Anolis sagrei: one gene and its partner. The protein of the gene in region 2 purifies or fractionates together with the protein of the main gene of each other region. This does not show direct contact. Links are inferred from orthologs where the notes say so. Each region holds a gene or a part of one and is shown on either strand. Other genes may lie near its edges.

The links. The genes of interacting proteins can lie anywhere in the genome.
Region 1: the proteins of RIPK1 (region 2) and CYLD purify together in Homo sapiens (affinity purification with western blotting; 5 studies listed by BioGRID). This does not show direct contact. The link is inferred for Anolis sagrei from reciprocal best matches to the Homo sapiens genes RIPK1 and CYLD.

What each region holds. Positions count from the first base shown.
Region 1 is NC_090028.1:32,385,709-32,389,460, reverse strand, and holds the start of CYLD (ubiquitin carboxyl-terminal hydrolase CYLD), read right to left. Parts: upstream 2,767-3,752; 5' UTR 2,671-2,766; intron 1-2,670. UniProt on the Homo sapiens protein: Deubiquitinase that specifically cleaves 'Lys-63'- and linear 'Met-1'-linked polyubiquitin chains and is involved in NF-kappa-B activation and TNF-alpha-induced necroptosis.
Region 2 is NC_090024.1:87,468,620-87,472,371, forward strand, and holds the start of RIPK1 (receptor-interacting serine/threonine-protein kinase 1), read right to left. Parts: upstream 2,746-3,752; 5' UTR 2,584-2,745; intron 1-2,583. UniProt on the Homo sapiens protein: Serine-threonine kinase which is a key regulator of TNF-mediated apoptosis, necroptosis and inflammatory pathways.

The sequences.
Region 1 (3,752 bases), on a different chromosome or scaffold from region 2:
TCCGTTTGTGGGATTAATATAACTAAAAAAACCACTGGACGAATTGACTGCAAATTTGGACCTATCAGGCCAACGAGTGTCCATCACCCCTAAACCACACACAAAAAACCATTCGAACGGGCTTTGAAACCCCCAAAATAAACCATATATTTTGGTTTATTTTGGGGGTTTCATATGTGTTCATACACATATACACAAGCACACATACATAGACACAAACACACACATATATACACACACACATAAACACAAAAATACTCAAATATATACACATATACACACACAAACACACATATGAGTCCCCCCCGGGGTGAGAAGGGCGGGGTATAAGTAAATGAAATTAAAAATATATATATACATATACACAAATATATACACACATTACAATGCATGTGCAAAACTACATATATGTACGCAAGCACACATATATACACAAATACACACACACACACATATATATATATATACACACACACACACACACAGATATACACACGCAAACTGGGCCACAGCAACGCATGGCAGGGGACGGCTAGTATTATATATATATTACTATACATTATAAGATTATATCATATTATATTATAAGATTATAATATACATCATTTTAAAGAAATGACATATATTAAAGCAACTGTGATGAATAAAAGACAATATAAACTATCTATTTTATAGAAATGACACATATTTATGCAACCTATCCTTTGCTTTAATATACAATAAGTAGGATATATAATATAATATTAAAATACACATTATTTTTAAGAAATTACATATATTAAAGCAACTGTGATGAATAAAAGACTATATAAACTATCTATTTTTAAGAAATTGCACATATTTAACCAACTTATCCTTTGCTTTAACATACAATAGGTATGATATGTATTATAATATTAAAATACACATTATTTTTAAGAAATTGCACATATTTAAGCAACCTATCCTTTACTTTAACATACAGTAAGTATGATATATAATATAATATTAAAATACAAATTATTTTATAGAAATTACATATGTTAAAGCAACTGTGATGAATAAAAGACAATATAAACTATCTATTTTTTAAAAATTGCACATATTTAAGCAACTTATCCTTTGCTTTAACATACAATAAGTATGATATGTAATATAATATTAAAATACACATTATTTTAAAGAAATTACATATATTAAAGCAACTGTGATGGATAAACTACTTATTATTAAGAAATTACACATATTTAACCAACTTATCCTTTGCTTTAATATACAATAAGTATGATATATAATATAATATTAAAATACACATTATTTTAAAGAAATGACATATATTAAAGAAACTGTGAAGAATAAACTACTTATTATTAAGAAATTACACATATTTAAGCAACCTATCCTTTGCTTTAATATACAATAAGTATGATATATAATATAATATTAAAATACAAATTATTTCATAGAAATGGCATATATTAAAGCAACTGTGGTGAATAAAAGACAATATAAACCATCTATTTTTAAGAAATTAGACATATTTAAGCAACTTATCCTTTGCTTTAACATACAATAAGTATGACATATAATATAATATAATATTAAAATACACATTATTTTTAAGAAATTGCACATATTTAACCAACTTATACTTTGCTTTAACATACAATAAGTAGGATATATAATATTAAAATACACATTATTTTATAGAAATTACATATATTAAAGCAACTATGATGAATAAACTATCTATTTTTAAGAAATGACACATATTTAACCAACTTATCCTTTGCTTTAATATACAATAAGTATGATATATAATATAATATTAAAATACAAATTATTTTTAAGTAATGACATATATTAAAGCAACTGTGATGAATAAAAGACAATATAAACTATCTATTTTTAAGAAATGGCTCATATTTAACCAACTTATGCTTTGCTTTAATATACAATAAGTATGACATATAATATTAAAATACACATTATTTTTAAGAAATTGCACATATTTAAGCAACTTAAAACCTTTGCTTTAACATACAATAAGTAGGATATATAATATAATATTAAAATACAAATTATTTTATAGAAATTACATATATTAAAGCAACTGTGATGAATAAACTACTTATTTTTAAGAAATTACACATATTTAAGCAACTTATCCTTTGCTTTAACATACAATAAGTAGGATATATAATATAATATTAAAATACACATTATTTTAAAGAAATGACACATATTAAAGCAACTGTGATGAATAAACTATCTATTTTAAAGAAATGACACATATTTAACCAACTTATCCTTTGCTTTAATATACAATAAGTATGACATATAATATAATATTAAAATACACATTATTTTATAGAAATGACATATATTAAAGCAACTATAATGGATAAAACGTCTATTATTAAGGAATTACACATATTAAAGCCATTCAGAGGTTGCTATGATATACTGTACCATTCATTATGTATTATATAATAATAATAACATATAACAATAACATATATAAACTGAGGGGAATAAAATGCAATGTTAAAATGTCTATTCTGAAGGAATTGCATAAATTAAAGCTACCCAAAGGTTGGTTTAATATACTATAAGATATATTACATATATATATAGACCATCAAGACTAAACTACATCTCTTAAAGCCAGAATACATCTACAGCCATTACCCTCCGCTTCCTTCGTGCGTCTGCCGCCTCCTTCGCCTCATCCCCACAGAGGCGCATACTACTTCGCTGCCACACGCCGAGCTCTCCGTCCCGCCCCTTGCCTCCTAACGTACCCAATAGCGTCACGCCGTGGTCCCTCTGCCTCCCTCCTATTGGTCCCGCGCCAAGCTGAGGGAATTTCCAAGCCCCGCCCCTCCACCCTTCTGCAGTCAGGCTTGGTTGGAGCAGCTGTCCACACTCACACACGAAAAGGGGAACGAGAGGAGGCGTCTGATTGGCTGACGGGGTGAGTTGCCGTCTGGTGATTGGCTAAAAAAAGAAGGCCGGCCTTCTTTCGCCCCGCCCCTAGCGAACCAAACGATGCGTGCGTTTGATTCGTCGAATCCTCGCTAGGCCCGCCCATTTGTCTCCCGATGAGTGGTGGCAGGAAAAAAGGGCGGGGCGAAAGTAGAGCGAGGGTTCCAATTGGAGGAAAGGGCAGCTGTTCAAAGGTTGTGTTTACAATTGGCATCAGGCTGTGAACATAGGGAATAACAGCAACAATAACAACAACAACAATTGGGCTTGGGGTAGAGCACAACACTTGATAATATTATTATGTAATATACAATATAATACTACTAATAATAACATGATATTATAATTTATTTATTTATTTACTTTACTTATATACCACTGTTCTCAGCCCGAGGGCGACTCACAGCGGTTCACAACCAGTAAAAACAGCAATAATTCAATGCAATAATGTAACAACAATTAACAATTAACATATTATCCAACAATAGAATTACTACATTAACCAATCACTAACGTCTCATCATCTAAAAACATAATCCAAAATTCATCATCCATTGTTCCATTCCTATGTTCATTGCCAGTCAATTGCACTAGTTATTCGAATGCCTGCACAAATAGCCAGGTCTTCAGTTTCTTGCGGAACACCATTAGAGATGGTGCCAGCCTAATGTCTGTGGGAAGGGCGTTCCACAGCCAAGGAGCCACCACCGAGAAGGCCCTATCTCTCGTCCCCGCCAGCCGTGCTTGAGAAGCAGGCGGGATCGAGAGCAGGGCCTCCCCGGAAG
Region 2 (3,752 bases):
CATCACAACCTGAAGAACTGTATTAAGGGGCCACGGAATTAGGAAGGTTGAGAACCACTGATCTAAAGGAAAACATTGCTGGCTCATCATGGCAACTAGATGGTTCCCTAAGCATTCCATTCCTGCCAGCCAGCTATGTTGCTGTGTGCCTTTTAAAGTGGTTTTCAACTTCTGCCAACCCTATTATGGGGTGCATCATCTCCATTGTAGAATGAATGCAGCTCGACACCCCTTTAACTGCTTTGGCTCAATGCTATGGGATGCTGGGATTTGGTGAGGCACCAGACCTTCTTTTTTGCAAAGAAAGCCAAACTAAAACTCCCAGCACTCCATGGAGAGACTTATTTTGCATAGAATTATGGAAAAAAATAGACCCATGTATGATTCCACAGAAAGCTGGCTTCAGGAAAGGCAAGAGCTGCACGTCACAAGTACTGAACCTGATTCAGTACATAGAAGATGGCTTTGAAATGCAGCAGATCTCAGGAGCTGTCTTCATAGACCTGTCAGCAGCTTATGATACTGTAAACCACCGCCTCCTCCTAAGAAAAATGTATAATATCACAAAGGACTACCACCTCCCACGCCTCATAGAAAACCTGCTACAAATCAGGAGCTTTTTTGTTGAGTTCCAGAGCCAGAGAAGCAGATGGCGGAAGAAACAGAAGAACGGCCTGCCTCAGGGGAGCGTGCTTGCTCCATCAATGTTCAACATTTACACAAATGACCAGCCACTGCCAGAAGGGACAGAGAGTTTCATCTATGCTGATGATTGTGCCATCACTGCTCAAGCAGGGAGCTTTGAGACGGTTGAACAGAAGCTCTCCAAAGCTCTAGGTACTCTTACTGCCTATTACAGAGAAAAACCTGCTGATTCCTAATCCATCTAAAACACAGGCATGTGCCTTTCACCTTAAGAACAAACAAGCATCCCGAGCTCTGAGGATCACCTGGGAAGGAATCCCACTGGAGCACTGCAGCGCACCCAAATACCTGGGAGTCACTCTGGACCGTGCTCTTACCTACAAGAAGCACTGCCTGAACATCAAGCAAAAAGTGGGTGCTACAAAACAATATCATACGAAAGCTGACTGGCACAACCTGGGGATCACAACCAGACACAGTGAAGACATCTGCCCTTGCGCTATGCTACTCTGCTGCTGAGTATGCATGCCCAGTGTGGAACACATCTCACCACGCTAAAACAGTGGATGTGGCTCTTAATGAGACATGCCGCATTATCACGAGGTGTCTGCACCCTACACCACTGGAGAAATTACACCACCTGACATCCGCCGGGAAGTAGCAGCCAATAGTGAAAGGACCAAGGCAGTGACATCTCCAGCCTATCCCTTGTTTGGGTATCAGCCAGCACGTCAATGACTTAAATCAAGAAATAGTTTTCTAAGATCTACAGAGACACTAACTGGAACACCCCAGCAAGCGAGAGTCCAAAAGTGGCAGGCTCAAACCCAGCACCTCAATCCATGGGTGATATCAAATGAGAGACTTCCCCCTGGGCACACAGAAAACTGGGCGACTTGGAAGGTGCTGAACAGACTGCGCTCTGGCATCGCAAGATGCAGAGCCAACCTCAAGAAATGGGGCTACAAAGTGGAATCCACGACATGCGAGTGTGGAGAAGAGCAAACCATGGACCACCTACTGCAATGCAACCTGAGCCCTGCCACATGCACAATGGAGGACCTCCTTGCAGCAACACCAGAGGCACTCCAAGTAGCCAGATACTGGTCAAAGGACATTTAATCAACTACCAAGCTTGCAAACTTTGTGTTTTGTCTGTTTGTTTGTTTTGTTAAAAATGTAATACAAATGTCTGGTTGCTGATGACACGATAAATAAATAACTTCTGTCAACCCTATCCTGAGGTGCATCGTCTTCATCGGCACCACTTTAACTGCTTTGGCTCAATGCTATAGGATCCTGGGATTTGCTGTTCTCTTTGGCAAAGAAGGCCAAACTACAGCACCTCCCAGGTCTCCACAGCATTGAACCATGGCAGCTGAAGCGGTGTCACTGTATTGAGCCTACAATGCAGGTGCACCCACTAGATCAGTGGTTCTCAACTTGTTTTGGCCTTCAACTCCCAGAAATCCTAACAGCTGGTAAACTGGCTGGGATTTCTGGGAGTTGTAGGCGAAAACACTTGGGGACCCACAGGTTGACAACCACTGCACTAGATGTCCTTGGCAAGATCTGTTTTTTGGGTGGGGGTGAAGCAACCCAGGGCCCCCCAATGCAAGTGATGCCTCCAACATTGGAAGGATGTACCAAAAGGGAAGCAGAAACTCGACTTAAGCAACTTAGTTTCATTTTCGAGGGCGCCTCTTCCTCCTCCCTCTCCGTCTGGGCCCTAAACACCAACTCAAGGAGGAAGTCACCCACAACCAACCCAAGACTCTGCTATAGGGTCGCCCTCGGTCTAGTCAGTGAAAAGGGACACTTCCTCGTCGGTCCTTTAAGGGAAGTTGCCTTGGAAGCGCCTTGGGGCGCCACTTTCTCCAGAAATAGGGAGGGGAAGAGGAGAAGAGGGAGCAGCAGCAGCCCCGTTGGGCCCTTTACCTTCTCTTCGCCCTCTTTTGTGCCCTTCGAGGGAAGGCGATCCTACAGATCTCTGATCCTTCTTCCTTCCAAGAAGGAGGCGCGCCTGGATGGCTCCCCTCTTGCTTCCTCTTTCGCGGAAGTTTTCTCGGGGAGGAGTTTCGCCGTGACCAAAGAGCACGCGGGGCACTTCCCAGCCTATCCTCCCGCCCCTTCCAGGCCAACTTTTCCTTTTCCTTTTCCTTTTTTTTCTTCCAGAAAAGGCTGGGCTTCAGTGACCCAGACAGGCTGCACCCACACTGCAGAAGTAATGTCGCTTGGCATCACTTGAACTGCTTGGGACCGAGGGAGTTGTAGTTTTACCAAGTACAGATCAAAACTGCAACACCCAGGATTTTATACCAAGTGGGGTCAACCTGCAATCATTCTGCAGTGTAGATGCCCCCCAAATCTTTCAAGGAAGGCCTGTTCACGTCAGCATATTTTTCAATTTTAATCTATTACATTTGGCCCAGCCATTTTAAAACTGTTTATATGTCGCTATTGATCACTGTTTTGTTATGTGCATCTCCACTGAAGAAATAATGCAGTTTTGGCACCGCTCTGGCCCCTTCTACACACCCCTGGATCCAAGGCTCTGAGCCCAGATCTGAGCATCCCGAGCTCTGAGGATTACCTGGGAAGGAATCCCACTGGAGCATTGCAACACACCCAAATACTTGGGAGTCACTTTGGACCGTGCTCTGACATACAAGAAGCACTGCCTGAACATCAAACAAAAAGTGGGTGCTAGAAACATCATACGAAAGCTGACTGGCACAACCTGGGGATCACAACCAGACACAGTGAAGACATCTGCCCTTGCGCTATGCTACTCTGCTGCTGAGTATGCATGCCCAGTGTGGAACACATCTCACCACACTAAAACAGTAGATGTGGCTCTTAATGAGACATGCCGCATTATCACAGGGTGTCTGCAATCTACAATCAAAGAGCATTCTGAACTCCACCAACAATGGAATTGAACCAAACTTGGCACACAGGACTTCCATGACCAACAGAAAACACTAGAAGGGTTTGGTGGGCATTGATCTTCAGTTTTGGAGCTGTAGTTCACCTACACCCAGAGAGCACTGTGGACTCAAGCAATGAAGCATCTAGGCCAAACTTAGCACAGATACTCCATATGC